Schizosaccharomyces pombe: one gene and its partners. The gene in region 3 interacts genetically with the main gene of each other region. Each region holds a gene or a part of one and is shown on either strand. Other genes may lie near its edges.

Region 1 (6,033 bases), on a different chromosome or scaffold from region 3:
TAAAAATTATCTTGATCACATAAAAGTATTACTCATCCATGTGCTTCATAAATGTACGCTTGTGATGTTGAACACCTAAGGTACCAAGTTCGTCAATGTCAGCCTTGTCTAGAGTGAAAGAATCAAAATTCAAGCACTCCTTCATACGCTCAATTTTTGAGGTAGTAGTGATAGGTATAACGCCTTTAGAATAGGCCCACTTGAGAAGAATTTGAGTATCAGAAACATGGTACTTGCTCTCCAATGATTTAGTGAATTCAGCAACAGGACCTTGCGCATCACGAACCAAGGGAGAAAGAGGGCCATAACCCTCAACGATAATTCCTTTACTCTGGCAAAATTCTACAAGAGGCTTCGCGGCCTTGTATACTTGAGGGTGAAATTCGATTTGGTTGACACGAGGAGTAATAGTTGAAGTTTTCAACAGCTCCTCTAAGTCGGGAATACGAAAGTTAGAAACACCAACTGAGTGGACAAGACCGGTTCCCAAAGCCGTTTCCATTGCTTTCCAACCTTCAGAAATGGGTATTTTCTTTTCATAGAAAGGAATAGGACTATGCAAAAGGTACAGGTCCAAATAGTCAGTACCAAGCTTACGTAAAGATTCGTTGAGGGCTTCAGGAATGTTATCGACATTATGCATAACCTTGGAAGTAATAAAGAGTTTGCTTCTTGGAACATTAGCTTCCTTCAAAGCCACCCCAACTTCCTCTTCGTTGCCATATACTTCCGCGCAGTCGATATGAATGAAACCAGCAGCAAGTGCATTCTTTACCGAATCTACAATGGTTCGATTGATTTCTCCCTTTTCTTTCTTAAACAAAGCTGTACCAACCCCATAAGCAGGGACGGGAATCTTAGGGCCCATAGCAGCGATAAGCATGTTGAAAATGTTAAGAGTACGAAAGAACTTGAAAGTAGAAAAAGAGTAAGCTACAAAGAGGCGCTACTTTAAAAGTTGCAGGATAAAAATTGTTAAATAGAAATGAATGGAATAAACGTTAAACCGAGATTTTTGCAAGCAAAAGAAAAGAGAATCGCAGCAAGAATTAATAAATTTCTTCTTTAAAAATGCTCTGTTTAGGTGAAAAGAGTGCGAGAAAGGGCCGTATATCGCTATTTATATAGATTTCCAAAAACTTAGTCAGATGACATCAGCCAAGTCTGGCTTGGCATACAGAATATCTGACTGACGTTGTGCAGCATCTAAGAGAGGAGTCTTTGGAACTTTAAAATGAAGAATTATCTGATCAGATAAGGAACAAACGTGTAACCAAAAGCAGATTTGTTCCAACTAAACAGTGTAAGTTGAATAGAAAACAGTTTTACAGGCAAGAATAAGTTGAACGTTAGATTCGGTATTTAATTGATTTAGCAATATTCAATTCTTGAATGAATCCCTCTGTTTTAGCTGCGAGGATTATCTTCACCACCAGATGAGTTGGCGGTTTTTACAGCATATTCTTACCTATAATGTTAATAAATGTAAGGTAGTTACCATTAAGCTGTAGCGTTATAATAGCAATGCTTTAATCATAAACAATGCTTACTCAGTTTTGCTAGATCATTTTTTACTATAGTCTTTATCGGCAAGAAATTGAGGAAACTCCTTCAAGGCATGATGATCGTAATCATTTAAGAAGTCTTTGACATGTATTATGCATCTAAATGTCAGAGGTTGAGAAAAAAACAAATAAACAAATCTGAAAGTGTCAGGAAAATGACTTGGCAATAATTCAAGCTTATTCATGTTAACCAACGTCAATAGTAATGGTTAATAACTCGACGTCCGCTTAACAAACACTAGGGTAAATTTACCTGCAACTTGTAATTGAGGAATTCTAAACGCATTCCCCACAAGCTAGTTTCTGTTAACAAATATTTTTATAGATTTTGTCTAAAATCTATTTTCTGGTTAAATAATCAGTAAATTGCTACACTTTTATTCACAAGAAAACAAATTTTTAAAATAAAAATTTATTAGTGAAATCCTATATGATGATTTAAGTTACCCTAATACTCAAAAAAGGAAGGTTGTCCGAGTGGTTATGGAGCTAGTTTAAGGCACTAGTGCGAAAGCTCGTGGGTTCGAGTCCCACACCTTTCATTACGATCTTTTTAATAAATTTTTTTACATTTTATAAACAAATGTAAAATGACCCTTAAATATAGTTAAAACATATATATTGTGGATATCTCTATTCATCTTCTTCCTAAATTTTTCGTCTCGGCGTTGCATATTTGGTCAACAAAAACTATTCAGCGCTCTTATGATATGGAGATGCTTCTACAAGAAAATCATTTCGCACTACAAACAGATGGGGTGGTAAAAACAATTAAAAATTCGAATTATATTTAAAAGACAGATAAAAGGAAAAATAAAATAGCAACCTTAGACTCAAATTATATAGCCGATAGTCAAGATAATATTATTAAGTTCGACTTAACAAGGTAAAGTTTGAAAACTTGTTCAAAAGAAACCAGAAAATAGTATTAATAGAAAAGAAGAAAGACAAGACAATTTCAATGTGGGATACAAGATGCTTTAGCGAGTGGATCAATCAAATTAAATCAAATTTGATGTTTCTGCAATTCAAATATAATACACAGCTTTAAGGCACTATAATAAGGCCTAGTTAAAGTCAGAGAGAAAATGGGGGAAAATTGCTTAGTGATTTCAAGGGTAAAGAGAGGAGAAAAAATTTGGAAAGCAATTAAAAAAGAAAAGAAAAATACAACAAGATTTATATAGCACACAAAATTATTGATAGTTAAAAAGGACCAAAGAAACTTTTAACACCTTGAAAGCAATTTAGCAGCTAAATGATTCAAACGCAATCACAATCTACTTAGCCTTAGTGCTGATCTTTCCCTGTTCGTTGAAAAGAGGTCCCTCAGTTCCAAAAACACGGTCCCAAAACCAGCTGGTGATACCATAGGCAGACTTGTAATCCTTGTAGTGATGGTCCAAATGCCAGGTCTTCAAATCAGTCAAGTAAGCATTGGGCATACGACGGTGATGTAAGAAATAGTGGGTAAGATCGTAGAAAACGTAACCAAGAATGGCACCAGAGAAACCAGCAACACCAATGTAGTGAGGAAGAACAAGTTGAATAAAGTGATACCAGGGAGTGGCAAAGATAAGGAACAAAGCAGGAGGCATTACAAGACGGTACTTGTCAGCAGGTAAGAAGTGGTGGCAACCGTGGAATGCGAAGTGCATAGTCAAGAAAATAGGATGATCAGGGGTGTACTCATCCAAGTGGAAGAGGAAACGATGCATAGTATATTCAACCAAAGTCCAGGTGAATAATCCAATGATGAAGAAGGTGATAGCAACAGAGAAGGGAATTCCGGTACAGGCGTACAAGAATCCATAAGTGACACAGGGAACCCAAATCAATGGAATCATATACCAAGGGGTCTTGGTAAGAGGCTCCAAAAAGTTTCCAAACAAAGGAGCAGAACCGCTGCCACGGTAATGACGGGGACGGTGAACTTGGTCCAAATAAACATCCTTCTTGATGTTACCAAACAAAATTTGGGGCAATAAAGGCTTCTTGAGGTCAAGGAAATGGTTCTTCTCGAAATCCTTGTCAAGATCGGTAGGCTTGACAATGAATTCATTGCCATAACCGACACCAATGTTCTGGTCGACAAGATCACTGAATTCCTTATTCTTCAAAGGAACCTTAGCACTTTTCAAGATCTCAACAACAGCTTCAGAGTGCTTGGACTTGGAGGTAGCATTAAGGATATCAGCAACCTCTTGGCGGTGATAGCGACGAAGCAAGTCAGCAGCGTCCTTGTTGGCAACCAAGTAGTTGGTGACTAATGGAATGTTAGTATAAAGAACGATACATGTATTTTGGTGTAACTAAGGCAAAGGGGGAAAGGTGAAAAAAAGTTAAAAGCACAACGAACAAAGAAAAAAGATAAGAAATGGCACATCTCCCACAATGGATCTTTTGCCAATAAGCCTTTGCTATATGCGTTTTCATTGTTTTTTATACATTGCCTCTCAAACACTCTGTTGCCGAGAAAAAATTTTAGTCCTTCAACCAAATCTCCTTCTCAAAACCCAAACACCCTGCCATTTCTCCTTGTTTAAATACTTACCATCGTATTCAGTGCCGTCAGAAAGGATAACACACTTTTCACTAGTAACAGAGGCCATTTTGGAGATGGGAGTATGAATTGTTAATTCGTGATAAAACTGTAGCAAGCGTGTTTCTGATGAGTTTGATAAACAAATACAGTAAATATTACAACGTAGCAACTGATCCTATGATTCTTTACTTGGATTTTTGTCCAATTGATCAAAATGTCAGTTCTTTGTTTGTGTTGCGTTAATGGCACGATGTTGTGGCGTGGATGCAGTAGCCTATATATGTCGCAGGAAAGGGCAAAAAGGCATTGCGGGGCGAACCAAAAAATCGTGCTATTTTTGATCGACTTTTCCGAAAAATGGTAAGACAACGGAAAACAATATTTACCGTATCGCAAAACGGGTTCCGAAACTGAACACCAGAAAATTGCACTCAAGGGCCTATACACAGGGAAAGAACAGACGAGTGAAGTGCTTTACAGATACAATTCATTGATTTATTCATAGTAGACTAAAAATTATTATTTGCGAAAAAATACTTGAAAAGAGAAAACCTTAAGTTGATCGAAATTTATTAACTTTTCGTGATTTACTTTTCGTTGGTTTGGTTAGGTATAATTTTGTTTTCCTTCCTTTCCGTTTCTTTGCTTCTTATTGTCGGTAATTGTTTTTAGCTTGGAATTTCCTTATTCCGCTATTCCTCGCTTTCTTTTTTGTTTGTACTAAAATTTCTCTCATCTTTTATCGCTTAGGCAGTAGAATATTCCACTTTTTTTTCCACCGAAAGAAAGAGGACAAAATAGCTCAAAAGAGTACTCATTATTAATATTTTTTAACAAAACAATTCGTGTTAGAAGCGACGAAAGCTACTAGACTGACAAAACTCCATTTTTACTAGCTTACTTAGTTTTCCAGTCGAAGTCTGTTCCGATCCTGTCAGAGTTTGTTGTATTGAAAACGAAAATAAACGAACGTATTTTCCACGCATAGATAAACAGATCTAATCTAAATGCAGCTGGACGCGGAAGCCTTGGCTGAGGCTCCTTTTCGTAAGCAAGAAGTGGTACGTTTACAATTTTTTTCCTTCCTTCCCGCCTTTTCCCTTTGTTTTTTTGTCTTCCCGTGTTTATTGTTTTTACTAACCCTTTTCCTAGCCGCAAAATCAAGAAAATCAGCAAAAGGCATCTTCTTCTTTTCATGAATCCTCACTCACCTCTTCCACTCATAGTCATCCCTCTAACCCTCCTCCACCGCCTACACGGTTGCATGATCGCTCTTTCAAACCCGTGTCTAAAAATTACGAAAGTGAAGGTCGTCTAACTCCTCCTCCCGTTTCAATGGGTTATCGGTACGCCAGATCTTCCAAACAATCTTTTCAACGAGAGGATAGCGGTTATAACGATGATGTAGTTACAAATTCCTCAAGTCATCGCACCCCAAGACACCATAGGAGATCATATAGTCCAAGGTCCGATTATGGTAGTCGCTCTCCCTCTCCTCACTCTTCTGTAGATTCTCATCAAAGTAGATCACCCGTTCGTTCTCGCGATCGCGATCGCAGTTCAAGGTCAAGTCGAAGCCGCCATCCCTCAAGTCGTAGTCGCCATCGATACGATGATTATTCACGCAGCCCTCCTTACTCTTCGCGGCATAGTCGTAGTCGTCGCCGCTATGAAGAACGCTCCTCTCGTTCTTCTAGAGCCCATGATTATGATTATGAGGACTTGAGGGATGATGACCGTTCACATGAGCGTAAGAGAAGTCGTTCCCGTCCTCGTGAACGCTCCTCTAAACTTTCAGAGGAAGAGCGTGATCGCCGTACTGTGTTCGTTTCTCAACTCGCAAATCGTTTGACTTCTAGGGAATTATATGATTTTTTCGAACAAGCTGGTCCTGTTCGCGATGCTCAAATTGTTCGAGACAAG
Region 2 (6,134 bases), on a different chromosome or scaffold from region 3:
TTTGAATGAAGAAAAAATAGCGACACAGGATGATCCGCTTGAAGCTCCAACGCCTATTGTTGCCTCATCCTCTACTATATTTCTCAATTCTAATCAACGAAATGATGAACTTTCTGCATCTGGGTCCCAAGAACCGCATCCGAAGGATGGTACAAATAGTACATCGAGCTTGCCTTTAGACACGAATAATCTTTCAAATTCTGAACCCCCTTCTCATGTGTTAGATGCTTCATCTGAGACCATTGAAGTCATTCAAACAATAAAAAAGTTACAAAACCAGGTTCCCGAAACTATTAAAGACGAAGTTGGGAAAAAGAACACTGCTTTCAGTCCCGGAACTTCGCTTTCGACGAATCATGTAAAAACAAAAAGCAGATCGGCACACAATAATTCCACATCTCCTTTTTCAACAGCAGTTTCTTCCTGGCTCAATCCACTTCGGTATCCTAGTGATAAGTCACCAAGGGTTATATCTTCATATCTTGAAAGCGTTTTTATTTCAAAACCAAGATCTATCGGCGATGCTCAAAAGTTAGAAATTTTAGAGTATCTTCAGAGTCAGTCTTCTACCGTATCAAACCAGGTATTTACCCTATTATCGAACTTCATTCAAAACCCACTCTTTGTTCTCGATGAATGTTTTGATGAATTCCGAAATTTGATTTTGATGCACAATTCTCACACAGTCCATACTGTTGTATGGAAGACTATATCTTCTTGGACATCATATGATTATGAAATGCAGTATTCATCTTTAAGCATTAAGAACTGTGATTCAGATAAAGCAATACGTAAAGATCTTGACAGAACGTTTGCTCCTGAAATTTTAAGTCACTTTTTTTCCAATCGTCAACAGCTAGAACCTACAGATAACATAGCAGAATCTACCGCTAATTTGCATCGTGTCCTACGGTCTCTTGCTATTGTCTTACCACAAGTTGGCTATACCCAAGGAATGTCATGGATCGCAGGTGCTTTACTTATGCACTTACCAGCGCCTCAAGCATTTGCCTTACTTGTCTTTTTATTCAAAAACTATCATTTGCAAAATATTTTTTCTTCAGAAATGAGAGGATTAAGTCGTGTTTTACACCAATTCACGCGTCTGGTGGAAGATTATATGCCATCTCTGGCAATTCATTTTAAGCGTCAAGACATCAAAACATGTTCGTATGCTTCAGAATGGTTTTTAACCTTGTTTGCCTATAAATTTCCTTTAGAAGTCGTTGCTCATCTGTATGATATTTTATTTCTGTATGGTCCAGGTATACTCTTCAATTTTGGGCTTGCGTTGCTAAGTCACAGTCAAGAGAGCCTGCTGAAACTCAATATGGATAGGCTGATTAGTTACCTTAAGGAAGACATTTTTTTGGCCTTTAAGGAGACTCAAGAAGGCGAGAATTATGATACATCTTTGTTTGTAAAAACTGCTTTCTCTTTCGAAATTCAGCCGGATGTCTTGGATCGATACGGAAATGAATATGACATTTTACTTAAATCGGAGCATGAGCTAGACTCTTCTCTTGAAGAAATGCGTAATAGGCACAAATCTTTAAATGAGCATTTTATCATGTTGTCAGATTCAATGGCAAATTTGCAAGTTGAACATGAGAACATGTCCGCTCTACTACTGAAAGAAAAAATGTATCTAAAAAATCAAACTGTTGAACAAGCATCATTAAAATCCGAAATTGCATCCTTAAATAGTCAACTTGCTAAGCAAAAGTCAGAAATAGAGCAGGCATTTCAAGGAGATATGGAAGCAATCATTGCTGAGAATTTAGAAATTATGGTTGAAAGTCAGTCTCTCGAAGATGAAATCTTTAGAAAAGAAAAGCAGCTTGCTGAAACTAAAGTTAACTTGGCCGTTTTAGACGAGGACCATATGATGGCTTTACAAAAATGGAGTCAGCTTATGAACCGCATAAAGACAAAGTGAATATAAAAGCATTCTAGGTACTATTGGAATATCTGCATCCTAATGATTGCCATAATAATTTATTTATATTGAGTTACGTTTAATGTGTATTATAAAAAATCTTTGTTCCTGCAAGTTTGTCTTACTTAAAAACATACAAACGATAGTTCAAATGAATGTATATTTAATGAATCGTCTCACCTTTAATCAGTGAAGAAAGAATTCTATTGCTCTTGATCACGACCACTTCGCTTAAACTCTATATTTCTGCCTAAAGAAATCGAGTAATAAATTTTAAAAAGCATCTGAAAATAATACAAGGTTATTATCAGTTTGATGACTTTATCTTGTACAAAAAATAGGTTTACAAAGTTCTAAAAAGAAAATTTAAGAGAAAAAAAGATATCATTAAAAAGCCTAGTTCTCAAATATACTTTTTGAAATAAAAGACAACGTGATTAAAGCAACTGAATTTCACAAACATTGACAGTAAATTCAAATGCAAATGTAAAAAAAAAGACACTTTACAAGTACAAGAAATAAAGGAATCGATTAAAACACGAATATATATTGCCAAGAAAAATCCAGTCAAAAATTTCATGTTAAAACCGGGAAATGAACTTGAGATTTTTGCAAAGAATCGATCAAGTCATACACATATTTAAATTGTGTGAAGGTTTGAACCATCTTCATCCGCTGCTTTCGGATATGATCAACCAACTGGAAAACGACGTCTGAAGAATCGGCGACAGAAGGATTGAAACCAGAAAGTTTGCTTTCTGGGAAGCGTAGGATCGTATCTAGTACAATAAAGGTTCCTGTCCGACCAACACCGGCAGAGCAGTGCACAATAGTATTTCCTGATCCGTGAGAGTTGTTCACATATTTTAAGAACTCAACCATAGATTTCACGTTTTCAGGAGAATTACAATCAGACCAATTAGGATATTGATAGTGATGTACTTTTTTAACTGAAGGAAAATTGGCATTCTGAATTTCAAACTTTCGCAAAATGAATCGAGAATTATCGACATTTTCCTCCGAAATTTGTTTGACACAGTAATCTCCATACACTTGTTTATCTCCAATACCATTACTTGGCCAATATGCAGTACACATTTCGCGGCCAGCCTCGAACAATGAACCAAGCATAACAATAGTGCCTATATTCTCCACATTGTCCCATACCATGTGCCAGAAATCGCTAATAGAACGAGAAATAGAACCTTGGCAAGCGATGTAATTTGAAGTTTCAGTTTTGATAAAGGAAGCATTGATATAATCGAGCTCTGAAGGGCTAGTTCTTTTCAAATGCACACGAGTACAATTGTAAGGAACAATGTCGGTATATCTGTTTTTCTTATACGATGTATTACTCAATGAATCAACGGTACTCCACTGAGAATTACGATCCGAACAAGAAACTAGACGTTGATGCTCCAATGATTGCAGGCGCAAGAACTTCTGGTAGAGGGTCGCAACATCTGGATTGGTAAAAGCATCGGGCACACTGTGTAAGCAGGGTGTCTGGACTGTAGCACTGCCAAATGGAGAAGATTTGTTGTCCTTGTTCTCAGGTAGAGGACAGAAAAAGTTATTTAAAGACAAACCGGCAACATTAGGAGTGGGAGGAGGACGAGAGAAGTAATCGGAGCCTTCGCTGGACAAAGAGATAGGAGCAGTTTGAGCAGCAGAGTAAGACAATCTGGGGCGAGCGCTAGGCAAAGCACCTAATTTACTTTTTACAGGAGAGTTGTCAATCACAGATGGATACTTGCCCGAGACTTTCGAATAGTCTAAATCTAAAATACCGAAGTCACCAGAATAGGATTCTTTTCTAAATTTTTCACCAATTACCTCAGCGTTCGTTACGTAGTTAGCAATCCAAGCAGGAACACAAACAAGAATGGATGAAAACTCTTGCCAGTTTTGAAAATCTCTCTTGTCGTCGACGTCGTGAAGATTGCTGATGATACGCGCGACCGAAAAGGCAGGACGCTTAATTAAGGTTGCAGGTAAAGAAAGATTGACGGAGCCCTTAATTCTAGATTTGGAAAACTCGGATACGGGACGAAGGTCGATGATCAATGTGTCATCCTTCCAAGCTTCCTTGTCGAGATATTCTTGGAGGCAAGAAGCATGAACAGCATACTTACTCGTTGCTACACCCCGCTGAGGAGGTAAAGCAATACATGAACCCGAAGGAGCAATTGTAAAAGTAGACGATTTTGAACCGTTTGAAAAATTCATCGTGGTTTTTTAGATGAATGTTTTGTATTAAGAATATTTGGCCTTAAAAAAGAAGCAGAGATGATTAAAAAAAAAAGTAAAAAAGTAAAAAAAAATTCAGACTTCTTAAATAAAATACAAATATTGGATAGCACAAGTTTTGAAGGCCGAAAGCAAAATAATGAATGGATAGGAAATATCAAAATTACGGAAAATCCAGGGTTCTAAAAAGGAAAGAATTAACGCAAAATTTGGCAATAAAATTAGTAAAATATAGAAGGAAACAAGAGAAGATTCAAATCAAGTCTGAGATGAAAAAAGTTTTTCAATTCAAACTTTCTGCAGAAAATAAAGATGGAAGAGTTTTAGAGGGGATGAGGAGTATCCAATTCAAAGAATGGGTTTGAATCAGTACTATGCAAATATGAGAATAAAAAGGGGGAATCCTTAAAAATTAACGGATTAATGAATCGTCACTTCAAAGGTCAAGCGATTTTAAGAGGAAAATAAAAATACTGCTTGTGAGTGCACAGTGCAAGATTGCAAAAAGCAACACTATTTAAGAAATTATTTCGTATTTAGTAGAAAATGCAAAAAGGTAGGGCACACGCACGAAAACAGTAACCAGACTGAACAAAAATATAAGATAGAGGGTATAAGAAATATTATAAGTTGCAGTTTGTCAAAGTGCAGAAAAGTATACAAGTAGGAGATCGAGGAACGAAAAGAGGTAGAGGCTAATTGAAATGTAATGACAATGGAATAATTTTCCTACAAAACAGAAAACCCAATTTAAAAGTCAGAAGCGTATTCAAAGCTAAAGGGGGGAACCAAAAGCACGTTGATGCAACAAACTAGCAAAAACGTAAGGTCAACTAAGGATGAAAATTACAGAGCACACGTCTGTAAATAAACCAAATGAATGGTGAATACTTAGACAGATGAGTTCAGAAAAAAAGAAACAGAACTATTCAGAATGCAGAACCCCACAAAAAAAACAATAGACAAGTAACCACCAAGACCCCAAAGTGAAGTGAAAACAAACGGTAAAGCAATGAAGAAAATGGGAAAAAAATTCAAAACTTAATCCGAAAAACTCAAGGGAAAGGAATATATGAGCTCTTCAAAGGTTCAAAAAAAGCGATACTACACTGTGGAAAGAAACCCAAGAGTACACCTTTTTGAGAAAAGACAAAGAAAATGATGAAACGAGAAATAGGATAACTAGAAAAGGAGAATTCCGAAAATATGAAAATATCAACGAAAAGGAAACAAGAAAAAAAAAGAGGGAGGTATAAAAAAAATGTAAAAGGAGAAAAATCTAACCCAATTGAGAGAAAGAAGTGGTGAAACAAAAGTTGAGAAAAGTTGAAGAAATTAACTATTTTGCATCGTACGGGATAAAAAAATGAAGCAAATAGAAAAAGCACGGCGATTCAACGATATATCTGGTGCTCTTTTATGGAAGGAAAAAAGACTAGTTCTTCCTATTTATTCACTTTGAGTTAAAGTTTAGAAAAGAAAAGATGGGCGCAGGTAATGAAACAAACGACTTTTAAAAGCTACGTATAGCGGTGGAGAGACAACAGAGAGAACTGTTGACGAGATGAAGGATGGAGGAAAAAATCTAAGAAAGAGAATTAAACGCACTAAACGTCAACGAAATCAAGTCTAACGATTTTTGATTTTTACCAAACGATCAGAGCAAGGACTGAGCGACGAACCAAGGTAAAATTTTTCATACGATCCAACAAAACGACGATGAAAATAAGATCCAATCTTATACTTTACCCAACGTTTAAACAGGAAACCCAAAAGATAAAAAGGATTGGGAGCAAGTAAAGGGTTAAGAGGAGGAAGGGAGAGGACGAGCGAGCGATATGTAGAAAGAGAAGAAGAAGTAGAAATAGGTATATCTTGGAGCACCAAACAATGATATCACTTAATAGTCCCCCGGGTAAGAAAGAAAAAAAAAAAAGCCAACGAC
Region 3 (8,060 bases):
ACCGGGACGATAACGATGAGGCTTCTTAACACCACCAGTAGCGGGAGCAGCCTTACGGGCAGCCTTAGAGGCAAGTTGCTTACGAGGAGCCTTACCACCAGTTGATTTACGTGCAGTTTGCTTAGTACGAGCCATTATTTTCTAGTGTTCTGATAATTGCCCTGTGTAGATAAAAACAAATTATAGGGAGATTACGCTGTATAAATATGTCCCTACATCCAACTTTGATCACAACCCTAACCCTTTAATTAAATTGACGTAAGTTAATAGGGACGGCGCATTAATATATATTGTGAAATGCCGCATACCCTACTAGCAATAGAAGCACTGTTTATAGTAGTAACTCTATTTCGTTAATATTAATAGTGCAATATGTCTGGCCGTGGTAAAGGTGGAAAAGGTTTAGGAAAGGGTGGTGCCAAGCGTCACCGTAAGATCCTTCGTGACAATATTCAAGGTATTACTAAGCCTGCCATTCGTCGTCTTGCTCGTCGTGGTGGTGTTAAGCGTATTTCCGCTTTAGTTTACGAAGAGACTCGTGCTGTCCTCAAGCTCTTCTTGGAAAATGTTATTCGTGATGCTGTCACCTATACTGAGCATGCCAAGCGTAAGACTGTTACATCTTTGGATGTTGTCTACTCTTTGAAGCGTCAAGGCCGTACCATTTATGGTTTCGGTGGTTAAATTCGATATCAATTGCCGACTCCGAATTTTTTGTTTCGAGTCTATCAATTTTATGTGTACACTATAACTATTCTATATATACATGCCAAACGAGAATGTTTTTCATCTGGGCGATATCAGAAGAAGCATTATCAATTTGCTAGTGCAATTCATAGACAAAAAGGCGTTTGGTCTTTGTGAGAAATTTTTCATATCGCGTTGTATCACGGCTGAATACTCCATCTGACAAGAAGATGAATTTTTCTTCGTGGATTTGTGATTAATACATTTATTGAATGAAATGATTAATATAATGTTCATTAAACCCGAATCGTATCGTGATATTTATAAGTAGTACAAATATAGTAAACGCGCAAGTTTTTCTTTAGGTAATTGTTTGTGCGACCTTAAGCAAATTAACCTAGTTGATGCGTTACACTGTTCTTCGTGTCATCTTTCTGGGTATGGGGAAAGTGTGTCTAGTGAATGGGGTTAAAGAAGGTTATCTAAGCGACTAGTTGATAGCAAACAGTTGCATAGCCAGGAAGATTGTGAATTGTACGGTACATCGTAGTTGTGAGGTAATACGCAACTTTCTAATTGAGAGATATCAAATTGAATCAGCTCGATCGCATACTTAGATACTTATTAAGTGTTGTAATTTCGTCAAATAAAACTTTTAACAATGTAAAAAAGTACGTACTTTCTTCCGCTCCTTGCTTAATACCACAATAAATGAATTTACCTAATCTGTATCTAACAACCACATAGTCAACGGGACTAACAAATTCCAGTAAAGTGTTAAGGATAAAAAGCTTTCAGCAATGAGAGCGTACGACTCTTTCTCTAATCTGACATGTTTTCTTTTGTGTTTATAAAGCATTCGTTTTGTATTGACAAATTTTTCAATTACCTTGGGTAGGTGAATTATTTTTGGGCATATGACATCAGAACGCGTTGAACAATTAAGTTCACTTTGACAAAAATACAGATTTTTTATCACTACACGTCGTTTACTTTATATTTTACTTCATCTTATTACAAGGTTACTCTGTAATTGTAACGTTTGACGAAGCCCATAATCCAATCCTCTTTTTCGTTGCAGAGGAAAATAAGGAAGAGTAAGTACGTAAAGCCTACGAAAAGAAAGAGAAATATAAAAAAGTATACGTTTGTCAGTGCAATATTGAATGGTAAGTTTATTAATTGTTCCACTCATCGACTAAATAATAAAGTAGAAAGACGAGACATTTATGTGTATGCTAGAACACACTGGAATCCATTTGTTCACGAGTTGTTCTCGTAATAACATAATGATTGGTATTGCCGTGTGTGAATGCCAGTGATTATTGATGTTTGAAAGACTACAACTGATAAAAAGATAGTTGCACTAGTGATAAAAGTCTGTTGAAATTGGTATGCTCTAAAAGTCATTTGTACTTGAGTAAGCAGTCATATGCGTGTTGGCTATCCATCTGTTTGACTTGTTTGAAAATAATACACATGGGTTATGCTTTTCACAAGAAAGTAGAATAATTGATTCCTACATCTGCATCATCCATATCGATCGGTAAAGTATACTTTATCCTACGAATTGGTTTCATAGTTAAATCACTCCTCTGCTTAGCAGCTCCGCATCCCCTTCGTGTACTAGCCAATCTCATCGACATCGACAAATTGACTTCACCTGAGTTAAGCATACTTAATTCAACTTAACGAAGTGCAACCCACCACGACTGACCTCTGTAATCTCGGAAAACGGATAAGACGGTTCAGTACGTTCGCTAGTAAGAAGCATGCATGCAAAGGTACAAGAGCAGGCTTCCCATGCAAACTGAGAAAATAATCCCTGAAGAATTGCTAGTAAGCCAAATTGCAGCGCCTCCAAACATCCTTCTATTAAGGACCAGAAAGAATGATGCTGATGACTAATTTTTGGGTTATGCAAGAAGCATCTGGCATTTTCTTTAACTTCTCCACGAATAAGGAGAAGGTCACACGACGGAAGCGTGGAATAATGATGAGTTTGATCGTCGGTAAACTCCCCCAGAGTAGCGAAGATCATCGGCATCGAAAGAAAGAAGGGAAGGAAAAAAAAAAGTAAAAACGACTTGATGAATTCCGTGATCATGTAGGGTAACGGAAGACGAGATTACCGAGTTTAAGTAAGCAATCGAGGTCTGCATTGCGATGCCGATATGGTGATCGGGAACATGAAGCACTTGATTGACTTGAACATGTAGGGAGGAAATTTTTTTAGCGTTTTTAGACTTTTCATTTAGCTGCTATCTTAGGAGTAGCGTGACACGGCGCAAACGAAAAACAAGACATTTGTTGTACCAAACATCCTCAATTCCATCGCATCTCTAAAGTACGAGTAACTAGAGTAAGATGCAAATCAACGTCGTGATATGACCTAAAAGTATCGTGGACTTGATTCATCCTTCAATCTCATCTTTCCCCGACTCCGCCTCTTCATTTTGACCTCATTCTATGATTGCTTTTGGAATGAAGCTTGCAGCGTATTCCTTCATTAGTGCGTTATGACTAACCGCGATATATAAGGTGATTTAAGTACTGGAAGCTCGCTTTCCATATGAGAGGACAGCGTAGAGCGCAAGTCGCAGATTGAAGGAATGTAATTGGGGTTCGCTTACACATTACGCGCTTTTATTTGAAAAGAACGAATCAGCAGCACTGCCAGCGCATTCTGACATTTCCATGCTACTTCATTGGCGGCCTCTGATTGGCTCAATCAATGTAAAACGACGTCAATTGCTAACCAATGTTGTTTGACAAGGGTGGTTTTTTCAATCAGACGCTTGACGTCATTCTTTATATATACATTGCCTCGCGCATCTTTGCTGGGTAGTATGGACACTACAAACAACACATATGCAAGATCAATTTCTAGTAATGGGAACGATAACTTTCCCACTCCAGATTGGCAATTTAATGGATCCCAATTGCAACAAAATCGTAAATCCAAAATGAATGGTCGCTCTGTGACTAATGTATTTCCGAATGCATTCTCGGATGCTGAATTCGAGCAAATCTCGATGCCCGAACTCAATTTAAAGCGTTTTAACCCTACTACGTTAGAAGAAAATAACTCAGATTTATCTGATATGTCCTCCTGGGACTATATGATGAACGTTCCCATTCGTGTCTACAACGATGCTGACACAATGGACCCCTTCTCCCTCGACACTATTCCCGATTCCTCGATGGACATGCCATTTGATCCCTTAGCATCTGACTATGGTAACGCTGCTAACTTTCCAAGTGTCCCTTCGTCCCTTGGCAGCAATCATCAATTTATCACCACACCTCCTGTCAACGGGTCGAACGAACCTACCTCGGCTCAAACGAATCACATTATTACTGCTAACAGTTCCCCCAGTGGAAATGCTGGGAGTAACGCATCTGCAAGCATGTCCGTCCCTCCTCCTCTTACTCCATCTGCTTCCACCATTAATGACCAGCCCTTCTCCAACTCTTTCGATTTACCTAGTCAGGTGATTGCTGATGGCACTGGCGCGATTTCCGACATCAACGGTAATCCATTTCCCATGAATTCTCCACCTTTGGATATGGAACCGTTGCCCTCGATATCCATGGATGCAAGTGACTCTGTCTCCGAACAACTTGTAAAGGACGCCTCTCTTCCTAGTGGTCCTTTTTCAACCGATTATTTGGAGAATGGAAGTGACTTAAAAAGGTCACTGGGTCACAATCAAAAGTCAGACAGAGTCTCAAAAGATGTCTCACCTCAACACCAAGCAAATCCCTCTACCCTTAACAATCCTCTCAAGACCCAAAATTTTGATTCCTCTAAGAACCTTTATACCGACAACAAGGATTCCTCCCTTGTATCTCCAACGGGACTTCAATCCCGTATGGAACAAAATCCGGAAGTGCGGGCGCATCCTATGAAGGACTCGGCGACGAGCACTGCGTTACGCCGTTCTCATGCTCTGGGAGCTGCTGCTGACTCTCTTCTTCCTCAAGAAAACTCCGCTCAGATATATGATGGGAAGGATGTATCTATGGTCAATGATAACATGCACTCCGATGTTCGGCAGGACAGCTTCAATAAAGAATCTATTAAACAACGCATCCCTTCTTTGTCTCCTCCGATAACGCGATCATACAATGCCAAGCATCGCCCCTCCTTGGTGCTTGGTACGTCGGTAAATCCACATTCACTTTCTCCTTCACAGCCTCCTGTTGTCGTACCTTCAAATACTACGATCAGCTCCTCTCCTCCACTCACTTCTCCTGTTAAAACCTCTGCTAATATACCTAACTTATTACCGACTTCAGAGTTAGACAGTTCCAACGCTCCTCACTCTCAATCGGCTGCTACTCATGACCTAAATGACGTTAAGTCGTATTACAATACTAGGTCTTCTCATTCCGTGGTACCTAATCCAACCAACCAAAAAGTAAGCATCACCGGTGCTGCTGCTGATGGCCCCAACGGATCTGCTCCTGTTGACACCACTCCTACAAATTCTTCTACTACTGCTACGGGTGCTCAGAGGAAGCGTAGGAAGTTTAAATTTGGTAAACAAATTGGTCCAGTTCGGTGTACTCTTCAGAACAGAGTTACAGGAGAAATTTGTAACACAGTGTTTTCTAGGACGTATGATTTGATCCGTCACCAGGATACGATACATGCTAAGACACGACCTGTATTTCGATGTGAGATTTGTGGCGATCAACGCCATTTCAGTAGACATGATGCCTTGGTTAGGCATCTCCGTGTGAAACACGGTAGATAAATTGAAAGGAGTCTCTTCTGCCACAAATATTAAAAAAAGGTTATTGCATTATCTATTGTCATTTTTCACCTCTTACGCTTCTTCATTGATTCCTTGTTTATGAATTTTAAAAAAAGTTGCATTTTGCTAATTATTTTCAAGAAAAAAATTGGTACCGTTATTATTTCACAGCCCTTTTGAAAGTGCTTTTTCCTTTGTCTCCTTTCATGTACATTTATCATCTTAATTTTGCCTCTTCATTTCATCGTATCCTCAAGCTTCATGTGTAATTTCAAACCCCTTCTCCGTCTAACGGTTTCCTTTTTTATTTTGGACGGTCATAAGTGTTTTTATATTTTGTTTTCATTTTTATTGGGATTGGTTAATATTGTTTTTTTTTTCTTACCAAGTTACTGTTAAATGTTAATAAAAAATTTTGTGTGTTTTCACCTTAAATTGAATACCTATCATGTAATTTGATTTAGTTTTACATACTTAAATTTTAATATTAGTAAGTAGTATTTGTAATTTAGAAATATTTTTTCTGCCGGTATTAATTATTATTGTTTTTCAGTTATGTTAGGTATAGACGCGGCCTCTAGCAATCAAAGACGGTGGATCAAGGTCTGTAGTAAATCGATCAATCCATAGGTTACCTGTCTCTGAGATACATATGCGTAGTGGTTGATTGACAAACGCGGGAGATAATAATCGAAACTCAAATCTTTTCATGTTCTTTGACATTTGGGGATAAACAGAACGAAAGTACTCTAACATACTAGTCACTAGAAGAGGACCTGGAAGAACGAGATTTGGATAATTTTCGGACTTTGTAGCGTATGTCGCATTCCAATGGATCATATGAGCATTAAACATTAATGCTGAATAGCGAAACACCATAATAGGTGTAGGTGTGAATACCCAAGAGTGTTGTGGAATACTTTTGCTACGTAAAGTTTTTGGTATAGCCAGTTCTTGTCGATTTAAATAGGCTAATGTTCTATCTTCCTCGATACATAATTGATGCTGACTGTCGTAAATTTTTCTTCGAATATATACATGCTTTGTCTGTTTTTCTGAAGTAGGCTTTGTTAGAAAAGAACTTTTTGGAAGACAAGCTTCAACTTCTTTTGTAATTGATGGAGATTTCACAGATTCTTCCTGAATCAATTCATGACATTCCGAAGTTTGGAAAAGATGTAAAGGTCTATGAAAACGAAGGACTCCATGTAACCATATTCGGCGCTTAAAAGAAAAAGGATTATTTGGCTTTGGGGAATAAAGACTTTCATATCCATCTGAATTCAAATTTGATTCAGGAGATGCTAAAGAGAAAAAAAGAAAATGGTAACCAGGCTGTAATGATGTTATTTTAGCATCCATTGTTATGCAACTAACAGGCAAATGACCACTTAAAGTAGCTTTTAACTTATCAATTGGCGCTTGAGATAAGAAATCCTTTAAAACGACCTTTGCTGACATCGATGATTACTTTCTGAAACGCTTTGCACATTGACTTTTCAAGTAGGCAATTTATCAATACTGAAGGTGATCTATTAGAAATTATTATAAATTAGCCGAAGCAATTATCCCTAAGAAGACCTCAACTTTTAAAATCGGAAAGGACAAATCTTTGAAGCAATAAGCTCTTAATTTTATGGAACCTAATAACTTTAACAGCTACACATTACTAATTGCTTTTGGCACGACCCAAATTGCTTAAGGTATACGTGTAATGCTTGTTTTATACCGTTAGTGGAGACTTGACCTCTTTTAGCAATGAAGTACTAGCAAAATTTATGATAATCGCACATCTAATAAAAGATAATTTCACCAAATGAAAAAAAAAACCACCTAAGCAATTAATATACGATTTAAGTCACATACATTTAAATTAAGCCCTTGTTGGTGAATCTTTATTAATTATTAATCGTTTATGAACGCTGAAGTACCTTAACCTGTTAATTGTAAAGATCATTTCTATATAATGTTAATAGGTCATCAATGAGCCGCTTTTTCATTTTCAAATCGAATTTGACATTGAGGTGTTGATTTACATCTATTGAAAATGAAGGAGCAACCGATTTGCCTATATATTTTCATGCCTCTTTTTTTGCTTGTTTTTTGTTTCATATTCATCAATGTACAACGTGCTATTGGATTACAACACGTTATTATGGTAAACCGAACGATAACGAGATTCATTCGTTGTAACCACATAATACAAAAAGCAACTTTACTGTTTTGAGAAAGAGCAAGCATACCATGAACTATCTTGAAGGTACGATCGATTTTGCAGGACAATTAAGGTGTCAAAAGTATATGAACTATGGTCTATGTACAAGTGCTGTATGTCAGGGATAAAATCTCATTTATTTACTAATATATCTATAGGTTATTTCGTACATTTATGGGTATTTAGTTCAAGATTCTTATTGTGTGATTAAATTGTTTTTAATTTTAGCATCGTTGGTGGCTCTTGTAAGCTAGTTTTTTTGCTTCTAGTCATGTAATATTAACATTCATTTAAAAATAGGTGTGTCTTCCTGCTTGGTCTATGTACAACAAAAACCCTTTAAAATTTCAAAAGAAAAAGGAGTAAGCGGGAAATGGGGAATCTTTCTTTACTTG

The links. A genetic interaction does not mean that the proteins touch.
Region 1: mutations in rsv2 (region 3) and scs7 together harm fitness more than expected from each alone (negative genetic interaction), as found in Schizosaccharomyces pombe (2 studies listed by BioGRID).
Region 2: mutations in rsv2 (region 3) and pyp1 impair growth when combined (synthetic growth defect), as found in Schizosaccharomyces pombe (2 studies listed by BioGRID, with this or other methods).

Annotation. Positions count from the first base shown.
Region 1 is NC_003424.3:4,055,102-4,061,134, reverse strand, and holds scs7 (ER sphingosine hydroxylase Scs7), read right to left. Parts: upstream 4,360-6,033; 5' UTR 4,178-4,359; coding exon 4,120-4,177; intron 4,100-4,119; exon of another isoform or gene 3,832-4,099; coding exon 2,846-3,831; 3' UTR 2,320-2,845; downstream 1-2,319. Other genes in the region: SPOM_SPAC19G12.09 (NADH/NADPH-dependent indole-3-acetaldehyde reductase AKR3C2), read right to left, coding at 29-883; RNA-binding protein Rsd1, read left to right, coding at 5,118-5,171, 5,263-6,033. UniProt on the Schizosaccharomyces pombe protein: Ceramide hydroxylase involved in the hydroxylation of sphingolipid-associated very long chain fatty acids. Postulated to hydroxylate the very long chain fatty acid of dihydroceramides and phytoceramides at C-2.
Region 2 is NC_003424.3:5,159,546-5,165,679, reverse strand, and holds pyp1 (protein tyrosine phosphatase Pyp1), read right to left. Parts: upstream 4,169-6,134; coding exon 2,516-4,168; 3' UTR 2,320-2,515; downstream 1-2,319. Other genes in the region: GTPase-activating protein Gyp51, read left to right, coding at 1-1,939. UniProt on the Schizosaccharomyces pombe protein: Plays a role in inhibiting the onset of mitosis. Dephosphorylates sty1/spc1 and wis1/spc2/sty2.
Region 3 is NC_003423.3:3,529,395-3,537,454, forward strand, and holds rsv2 (DNA-binding transcription factor Rsv2), read left to right. Parts: upstream 1-3,533; 5' UTR 3,534-3,536; coding exon 3,537-5,450; 3' UTR 5,451-5,894; downstream 5,895-8,060. Other genes in the region: hht3 (histone H3 h3.3), read right to left, coding at 1-135; hhf3 (histone H4 h4.3), read left to right, coding at 373-684; SPOM_SPBC1105.13C (uncharacterized protein), read right to left, coding at 2,366-2,794; 3-hydroxyacyl-ACP dehydratase Htd2, read right to left, coding at 6,009-6,911; signal peptidase complex subunit Spc1, read left to right, coding at 7,695-7,778, 7,824-7,910, 7,966-8,031.